Linked DNA regions of Cricetulus griseus. The protein of the gene in region 2 interacts with the protein of the main gene of each other region in a pairwise test. Links are inferred from orthologs where the notes say so. Each region holds a gene or a part of one and is shown on either strand. Other genes may lie near its edges.

Region 1 (4,588 bases), on a different chromosome or scaffold from region 2:
TTCACCTCTCCCAATATCCTGACTTGCCCCTTTCCCTCAAGCCCCTTCTCACTGAGGGACAGCTTACCTTGGAAAGCAAAGGATGTAGTGTTTAAAGTTCAGGCCACAGTTCCATGGTCCTATGGTCACTCATCCCTCCTTGAAGCCCATATCAAGTCCTGAATTTCCCCAACTTTTTCCCATCATGCCAATCTCTCCTGCCCAGACTGAGAAAAACTGCCTAACACCTTCAACTAGCTGGATCCTGCTACATGAACCCAACAGAGCCCCAGTTTTATTTGCGTGTAATTGGACATCCAGGTTACTAGACACCCTGGAGAAAATCTTGATTCACAGTGTAGCTGATCAACTCTTGAGACCACTGCCGCTTACAATTCCACTCTATTACCTGGAGCCTGCTGACTACCAATATAACCATTCTCTCTCTTCAGATACCTGCAGTAAATCTGAATCCAAGGCCAAAGTGAGGCAGAAAAAAACAGCAATGGAAAAAAGGCAAGAATGACACCCAAAGAAAGATGTGGGATTGAGGTCTACTTTCAAGATAAAAAACAGCATGTCTGTAAACTTAAGTCACTTACAACATTTATATAGCATCAGGTGCTCAGGTGGTATCTGAGTGTCAAATATGGACACCTCTTTATAAGAACTCTAATGGGGGGGGGGCGGACTGGAGATGGCTCAGCAGTTAAGAGCACTGGCTGCTGTTTCAGAGGTCCTGGGTTCAATTCTCAGCACACACATGGCAGCTCACAATTGTATGTAACTCCAGCTCCAGGAAATCTGTCATCTTCACACCAATGAACATAAATTATTAAAAAAGAATGCCAATGAGGTAAACCCTCTACACCCCATTTTACAGATGGGAGCACAAAGGTCCAGGAAGTAGCTTTATCCAAAACTACAAAGCAGTAACTTGTGAGTGGGAGAGCCAGGACTAAAACCGTGACAGGCAAAGCCCGAGTTCATGATCCCACTATTCTAAAACATATGACACAGATGGGAGAAATGCCTGACCTGGTTGAGTCCCAAGCCAGCTTAAAGCAGGTGGCAAAAAGTCATGCAGGTGACTGCTTGAAATGTATTGACACCAGATCCACCCAGCAGCGGCCTCTACCTACCCTTCTGGCCTCCAGGCCATGAGCTCCGGGGCAAGGCGGGCCTCACACCCCTCCAATCCCACTTACACACAAGCAGGCCAAACAAATGGGCATGACCTTTATTTCCCTCTCCTAGACTGATGTCAAAAAAGGCAAGTCAGATATACTGTAGACAGAGTAAGCCCTTCTCAAGCAGTCTGTAACTCAGCACTGACCCCATATGCCCTTCATTCTTCATAGCATCCCGCATCCCAGGGGGGAGGGGAGGCAGGACTCCAGTGGACTCAAGCCTTGCTGGCATGTTAAGTGTCACACAAGCCCTTCTTACAGAAGGCACAGAGAATCAGGTCTAGAGTACAGTCAGGCTCAGCAGGTCTTCAGGACCGGGTGTCCCGAGCCCTTCTTCGGGGTCTGGGACCACAGCTAGGTATGGAGCCCAGGCCTGGGGGCGCTCCCGGGGGTTGGTAGCCACATTCACTGGGGTCCAAGGGGTCCCGACTGAGTAGCACCCACACTGCAGGCACGTGACGTCGAACTGTGAGGGGGTCTAGGCCTGTGTCTGGTGAGGTTGGGACCCAGCTGTCCTCAGTTTGCAGGAAACGAAGCTTGGTGAGTTGGTGGAGGCCTGGGACCCGCCGTTTGACAATCTCTGCACAGCTGACAGCCTTCCCAGCTGCCCGGCCAGAGCCTGAGAACACCACATGCCTTGTGCTCCCCCCCTCCAAACGACCCAAAGCCAGTCCTAGCAGGTTTCGGATTTTGCTCCCATCTCGGACTCGCATTTCCAGGGTGTCAGGAGGTAGCTGGGGCATTGGTGAAGATGCTGGGAGCTCTACAGAGCCAGCCCTCCGGTAGTGTTCCATTCTGCTCCGGTGGCCTTGGTGAATCTCTCTTGCTGTGCACTGGGGGAAGCGGTCAGATGAGTGTCAGGACTATGACCAGGTCCATCCTCCATCACTCCCTCCAGGATATACCCCTCACCCCAAGGCTGGAGAGTCTTACACACGGAAAGAACCAAACTCCCCCCACTCCCCAAACCAGGCTATCCGGGATAGGGCCATGCTTCATCAGCTCAAGCTTTTCAGGGCTAGGCCAGACCCCTCCTCACCCACAACTCTCTAAAACAGGAGCCTTTCCTCACTAGGCTTCCAAGGACTCGGACAAGCTCCTCTCACTGTGTGCTTCCAGGAAACAGAATCAAGACTTGGCCCCAGGCTGCCTGGGGCACAGCCACGAACTCTCACAAAGTACTCCCTAAAGAAAGAACCGGCCCCTCCGGGCTCTCGGCCGGCTGAGTAGACTTCATCCTTAGATTACCAGGGTTGGGGGGCTTGAGCCAGGCCATTCGGGAACTCGAGAGTGGGGGCTCGCACAGACCACTGCTCGGACCAAACATGGACGGTCTGGCGGGCTCCCCGGTCGTGGGCCGCTGTCCCAGGCAGCAGACATCCCCTTTCCCCACGTCTGAGTACCCAGGCCCTGGGATTTGGCTCTTACCACTACCGCCCGTCCACGCTCGACCCAAGATGGCGCGCAGACCGGGAGCGCACGGGGCCGCGGGAGCGCGCACGCAGGGGGCGGGGCCTGAGGGAAACCCGGGACGCCGTTGGGCTCAGCTGAGCTGGTACCCGCAGCTGGCCCGCATCCCGCGGTCCGCGGTGATGCCGAAGCACGCCAGAACCCGCAGAGGGCCCTGCCCGGGAGAGGAATGGCTATCGGAGGAGTCCTGAGCATGAAGAATGCGAATCTGTGCCCTTAAACGATGGATGGTGCGCGTCACCTGTTGACTCACCGCATCGGTGAAGGAGAAGCTGAAGCATTGGTGGATACAAGCGGGCGAGACCCTTAGTTCTGAGCTTTGTTCTCATCCTGGGGCACTGGACAACCCTGGTAGTCTTCAGAAGGGACTAAGCCATAACTTGTGCACAACTCATTGGCCATAGATTGGCGTATAGGCTAGGAGGATCCGGTAGTGGGGGCAACAGATACCGTGACCTTGGGAAGGGTCTGTACCCTGCACCATCATAACGCGTCAGGCGCGGGGGTAGGAGGGTGCCCACGGAACCTAGTACAGTACTCAGAGTGAAACAGGTTCTGCAACATCTGTCCAACATGTTGATTAACCACCGAAATGGCAAGAATTGAGAAGAGATTAATTAACTTGGTAAAAACTCGTAGGAAGTTCTGGGAAAGAGCCGGGAACTATTTGTTGGAATAGTCTAGGATGACTGCTAGTTTCAGATCGTTTTGGACAAGCTGCATTTTGCGTGCCAGCAAAACTACAAATTGGTTGGTCTACAGGCAGTTGAAGGAGCCGAGGCACTCCCTCAGGCCACAAGAGGGCAGCATACACTTGGTGGAGCGCGGTGCTTAAACTGTTCATCCAAGCTTTCCCATCATCTGCTCCTCCTTCCCAGATCCTAAAATTCACTGCATCCAAGCCTCTTGGCTCCTCTTCTGGTATTCGGTAGACACAAGGCTATGCTGCCTTGGCTCTGAACGTCCCTGCTTGTTCCTCCATGATCATCCTGGCATGCTGAGCCCCACCTGGTAGGACTACCACTTTCTTGGTCTTCCCCCAAACCCTATACAGAAATGAGGTGACCCTACCTGTGCCCTCCTTACGTGCCGTAGGATCTGATATTTAGAGGGCAGTTGGAAAATGTGGGATAAATATACAATGCCCCACTGTATCAATCAGATGCAAGAGTACTACATCTTTCAGAAGCTCGACCAGGAGTAGTTCCAGGTCCCACCCTGATAGTGACAGCTCTCCCCTTCACCATTCCAGTTCTCACAGCCAAGCCCATCTTAGATCAGCAAGCCAAAACACACCTTCAGCGGTAGCTACAGTTTATTGTCATTGGAATAAATACACTGATGGGGAGTGCAAATCATGACTCTAAGGTAACCTGATCTCTGACCTCAGAGCCCCAACTGAGCAGACAGGTAGTCTTTGAATTGAATAAATACAAAGCTGTCTCTGCCTCACAAAGACAGGGTGGCACAGGGCCCTGGAGCTGGCCCCCCTTTCCCTGGCCTGGCACAGTAAGCAACTGTCATTCTTCTGCTGGCTTCACTTGCTTGGCAGCCTCTAGCTGGCAGAGTAGTTCATCCCACTGCACGAATTGCTTGGAGAGAAGCATTGTCTGGTCAGAAGTCAAGGTGACAACAGGAGTGTGAATGAGGAAGCACAGAGATTTGGCATGTGCCCAAAGCGGTGAAGGCAGGAGAGGAGAGGAGAGAATGGGATGGGCGCATTAGGGGCAGCAGAAACAGGCTTTGGGAGAGGGCCCATTAAGCACAAAAGATACAGTCTTGTTATATTCCTCCAGGAGAGCCTTGGACTCCTCACTGATCTCCATACACTGGTCCTGTAGGCCAAAGCATAGCTTAGAAAGGAGTGGAATAATGCCTCATCTCCCACTGAACTCCTTCCCTCCAAACCTAAAAAAAGATGGTGCTTAAATAACCTAGAGCGAAAGGAG
Region 2 (5,416 bases):
GGAGGAGGGGAGGGAGAGGGGTCTGGGATTGACATGTAGAATACTTTTCTTTCTAATAAAAGGGGGGAATAAAAAAAGAAAATTAGGGACAATTAAATAATTCATTGACCTTAAAAAAAAAACTGTCTCAAAAAATTAAAAAAAAAAATCTTGCCACAGACTTGTCCTCTGACCTCCACGTATGTTCTCCCTAATAATAAACTTAAGGGGAGGAAGTATAGGGCTAAGGACATAGTTCAGCTAGTAGAGTGCTTATTCAGCATAACCAAGTCTTAGCTTCCGTCCCTAGTACCACAGAAAACTGACATGGTAGTCCATGCTTATCATCCCAGAGCTTGGGAGGTGGAGGTTGGAAGGTCAGGAGTTCAGGGTTATCCTCCTCTCCATAGAGACTTCCAAGCTAGCTTGGGCTATGTAGGACCCTGTCTTAAAAAAAAAAAAATAGAAGTAAAATACAAGCAAATGACTGTAACAATTTGCAAAAAATAAATCACAGCATCGATTATAAATTATGCTGATGGGCAGGAGGTGCACCCTGCACATTTTAGGAAGAGGGTGCCCCCTGTAAACCTTGGCTCTTGGTGCTTAGGCAGGGGGAGCACAAGATTGACACCAGCCAAGACTCTGTCTTAAACACAACACACAAGAAAAAGCAAGACCTAGAAAATTTTATAAAATATGTCATCACTGCTTTTAAATTCTTCAATAAAACTTATTATACTTTGGTAAAATACACATTTTGTATTAAGGAAATTTTTAAAAAGGGAAATGATAAGTATTCATCATGATGTTACCCATGGTTGGAAGGAAAGGGAGGGCCTGGAAGAGGACTTAGTGGATAAAGCCTGCTAGCTTCAGTGTGAGCCTCAAAGCCTATGTAACTGAGGGGAGTGGTCCTGGAGAGATGGCTCAGAGGTTAAGAGCACTGGCTGCTCTTCCAGAGGACCTGAATTCAATTCCCAGAATCCACATGGCAGCTCACAACTGTCTTCAACTCCAGTCCCAGAGAATCCAACTCCCTTTTCTGGCTTCCATAAACACCAAGACACACAGGTACTACACAAATATATATGCAGGCAAAACACCCATAGACATAAAATAAATATATATTTTTAAAAAGCCCTTGTAATGGATGGAGAGAGCCAACACCTGAAAGCTGTCCTCTGATTTTCATATAGACACAGTGGCCTGTGTGTGCCCGTCCCTGCACATAAAACAAATAGATGTTTAACAAAGAAAAAAGTTAATCTGAGTCTGGTGGCACACACACACTTAATCCCAGTACCTGGAAGGCAGCGGTAGCCTAAGAATTCTGGAAGGCCTTTATAGACCAGACTGGTCCCAATAAATACATTAAAAAAAAAAAAAGATGATGATGAAAGAGCTGGGTGGTGGTGGTGCATGCCTTTAATCCCAGCACTCAGGAGGCAGAAGCAGGTGGATCTCTGTAAGTTGGAAGCCAGCTTGGTATACAAAGTGAGTGCCAGGACAGGCTCCAAAGCAACACAGAGAAACCCTGTCTCAAAAAACCAAAACAAAAAAAAGCCAAAGTTGGAGGTAGTGGTTCATGCCTATAATCTTTGCACTTAAGAGTCAGGAATATCGTCACAAGTTGGAGGTGAGCCTGGTCTACTTGCCAAGTTCCAAACCATCTAAGACTACATAGTCTCAAGACACAAAAACAAAACAGAAAAGGCCTGGTGTGGTGTGTGTCTGTGATCCCAGAGTTAGGAAAGGCAGAGGCAGGAGGACTGAGGGGGCTAGCCTGAGCTATATAACTAGATCTAGCTCACATAAAAGAAAAAAAAATGAGATAAAACCAAAAGCAAAGGAAAAATACAAGAGCATATTAGTGGCTGTAGCCAGCTGTAGAGCAGAGGACAAAGTTACAGCCTAGAAGTTTAGGGCCACAGAGGTGGCTGTGCAGTCAAGAGAGTGAGTAGCCCAGAGTCCAGATTCCAGCACCCCTGTAACCAACCCGCACATGTGTATACACATGAACACACACACACACACACACACACACACACACACACACACACACACACACACACACACACATTCCTTTACAGTGTGAAAAGATCAACTTTGGAATGAGATTTTGCTTATAGATGTCAGTTTGCAGTCCCTATCTAGCCCCCCGAGAATCAGATTTTTGGCTTTGGAGGAATGCCACAAGAAAGAAAAACAAGATCCTCAAGCCCTGAGGCAAGGAGAATATTAAGGGGAGGCCTTAGAGATTAGATGAGGGGAGAAGAGGGATGTAACAAATACGGGAGCAACCAGAAAAGAGCGAGAGAGAAGAAACCCTAATATGAAGAAGGGAGGGGATAAGATGAGAAGAGAGGAAAGAGGGACTGAGCTAAAAGGGAAGAGACTCAAGAAGAGAACCCATGCTGTGCCAGCCTCTGAGTCGGGCAGTTTTAATGCCTAATGCCATTCTTTACTGAACTCACCTCCTGTGCCAGCCTCTGGGTCAGGAAACCTAAGGCCGTTCTCCTAATAACTGCAACTATAAGGCAGTTTGATTTCTGATTGGGGAAAGATGAGGTAAGTGCACCAGCTGCTAAGTGAGGAAGGTCTAGCAGTGAAAGCCTGCTCTTTATAATCTCTCAGCTAAAATAGGGGAGTCAGAGGACACTTTGAGAGATGTGGGTGGAGAGAAACAGAGCTGGAGTAAGATGGGGTCCTGCTACTGGCCTGGAAGGCTGGCCATAGTTTCTTTCTCCCAGCCAGCCCTTTCTTTCACCCCTAGACACTCTAACGTGAGGGTCAGGTTAGAGCTCCTGGGCAGCTGGGGAGTGGGCGCAAGAGGGGATCTTCAGCCACTTGAGGCTCCCTCTGGAGTACAGGACACTAGCTGTGGAGCCAGGGGGTCCTCTCAGGCCTCTATCCTTATATTCTGGAACACCACTCATCAGCTCATCCAGAAAGCTGAGCAATTGCTGCATCCTCTTTCCTTCCCTTCCTTTCCATCCTTCTTCTATTGCTGAGATTAAACCCAGTGACCCAGCATCACCTACACTCAGGCTCTGTATTCTTTCTCAATCGCTATTCCTGTTAAGATCTCATTTGAGAGCTGCTGTGTCTCTCAGGGTACCAGATGCTGAGTCTCTTCGCACAAATAATAAGTTCAGTTCCAACTGTGGGAAATGTGGGGCACACAGAAAGAATCCGTCATAGTCACCCAAGGGACAGAGGTCTTATAACTAAGGGGAGGGGACAGAGACCCATATCAATACAGAGAGACAGCCACGGAAAAGAAGAAACAGTGCTACAGAAAGAGCTTCAGGGGACAGCACACACAGACTCAGGGAAGCAGACAGAGGGTCACAGAAGATAGATTCAGACAGGCCCAGATGGAGCCAGAGCCAGGTCCGGGCACAGAGAGACTCGGCAGCTGATGGAACAGAAGAGGCACAGAGTGGCTGCTGGCAGGGGAGGCGGGCGAGCCAGGCAGTGGCCTGGCTGAGGGGTCTATCTGTCATACCGGGTAGGAGGGTTGGCCACCCTGCTGCTGCTGCTGCGGTCCCAGGAGGGTGTCCAGTTCCTCGTGGCTCTGCAGAAAGGGGTCTTCCTGGGAATCTGGGCATCCCGATGAGTACAGTCTCCTCCTGAAACACACATTGCCACCACTGCCCTTGTAGCCAGTAGTCAGTGATGGGCACCAGGAACGAACAGTTCCTCGGCCCAGCCCTGTTGTTTGCCCCCAGCCCAGCCCTTCCTGTTAGCATAGGCACAGCTCAAACTCAAACTAAGCTTGATGCTGGCACAGTTGACTTCAGACAAGAGCGGCCCCTGCTGGTGCAAAGTGCCCTCCAGGAAGGAAGGGGGAAGGGAAAGCTGAATTCCCTGTTGTTTGGTGGCAACCTCTCCTCTTACTCAGCTATGGTGAGGCCAGCATTCATTCCCTCTGCACCTGAGGTACAGAATTAATGTCTGTTCATGAAGGATGGGTGACACTTTAGAATCGAGAGAAACTGTAGGCAGGCATCAGGAAAGGGATTCACGGCACTCTGCCTTCAGCCAGGCCTGTGGGAAGGCATTGCTGTTCACTGAATTCCCACAAAACCAGTGCTGGGACAAAGCCTCAGGGAGCATCTCCCTCAGCCAGCAAACCCCCTGTGTCCATCTCCCTCAGCCAGCAAACCCCCTGTGTCCATGCCCAAGAGCTGAAGAATGCTGAGGGGTTGTCTAAGGAGACCATACCCAAGTCAAGAGACTATGCCTTGGCGGTAGTTGGCCCTGGAGATGACCGCTCATACCGGACTCACGTGGCTAACCCCCTCCCCTGACCTTCTCTTTTTTTACTTCCTCTATTTTGGGGAAGTGGTCAGGGATTTTCCAGGAGATAGGGAAGACAAGGGTCCCTCTCCCCAAGCCTGCTAAGCATGTCTAGAGTCCTGAGCAAAGGCAGCTGTCCCCAGTCAGGCATGGTGGCCTATGCCTGTCATTTCAGCACTTGAGAGAGGGTTAGGAGAATCAGGAATTTAAGGCCAGCCTGAGCTACCAGAAAACCTGTCTCAAAAATAAACAAAAACCAGACAATCTAACAAACATAAAACTATAGCTGTTGCCAGGCAGTAGTGGCTCACGCCTTTAGTCCCAGAATTCGGAAGGTAGAGGCAGATGGATCTCTGTGAGTTCAAGACCAGCCTGGTCTATAAGAGCTAGTTCCAGGATAGCCTCCAAAGCCACATAGAAACCCTGTCTCGAAAAACCCAAAAAGACCAGGCATTGGTGGCGCACGCCTTTAATCCCAGCACTCAGGAGGCAGAGGCAGGCAGATCTCTGTGAGTTCGAGGACAGCCTGGTCTCCAGAGAGCAAGTGCCAGGATAGGCTCCAAAGCTACACAGAGAAACCCTGTCTCGAAAAACAAAAACAAAGAAAAACAAAAAACTACAGCTGTTTTTGGCTGCAGCTGTGTCCAGGACGTGGGTCTGCCTCGGCCTGGAGCCAGTAGGGTGGCAGAAGCCTGGGGAAGTACTACCCACGTCCCTCAAAGGGCCAGTCAGTACTCCTTCCCACCACCACCCCACCTGCCTGGGTGATAATGGGAAGGAGTGAGTACCACTGTGGAGAGCCCTGTTTTAGAAGGCTGTGTCTGTCCTCCCCAGGGCTCATCACAGGCCAGGCTGTTATTCTCCAAGAGAGCTTTGAACTCCTCTTCAGAGATCCTTGTCTCTCCAGAGAGACCACAGGGGCAAAGATACCAGGATATGCCTTTCAAACACTTTCTCCAAGGTTTAGAGATGCTGAAGGGAGGCTCAGGAGGTCCCCTGAGGACTCACCTGCTCACAGGGTCCTGGAACTCCTTGCCAGGCCCCCAACTGTGCCTTTTGAAGGGATCACTGGTGTGGCTATGGGCTCTGAAAGCCCCAGACCTTCTAAGGGGTGACGTGTGGAAGCCATCGC

The links. The genes of interacting proteins can lie anywhere in the genome.
Region 1: the proteins of Arhgef2 (region 2) and Rpp25l interact in binary tests that used the Homo sapiens proteins (3 or more experiments, as listed by UniProt). The two-hybrid records come from large-scale screens. The link is inferred for Cricetulus griseus from reciprocal best matches to the Homo sapiens genes ARHGEF2 and RPP25L.

Annotation. Positions count from the first base shown.
Region 1 is NC_048595.1:100,887,299-100,891,886, reverse strand, and holds Rpp25l (ribonuclease P protein subunit p25-like protein), read right to left. Parts: upstream 2,587-4,588; 5' UTR 2,550-2,586; coding exon 2,418-2,549; intron 2,402-2,417; exon of another isoform or gene 2,209-2,401; intron 2,003-2,208; coding exon 1,478-2,002; 3' UTR 1,205-1,477; downstream 1-1,204. Other genes in the region: Dctn3 (dynactin subunit 3), read right to left, coding at 4,160-4,249, 4,415-4,474. UniProt on the Homo sapiens protein: May be a component of ribonuclease P or MRP.
Region 2 is NW_023276806.1:65,903,675-65,909,090, forward strand, and holds the start of Arhgef2 (rho guanine nucleotide exchange factor 2), read right to left. Parts: upstream 3,721-5,416; 5' UTR 3,491-3,720; intron 1-3,490. UniProt on the Homo sapiens protein: Activates Rho-GTPases by promoting the exchange of GDP for GTP.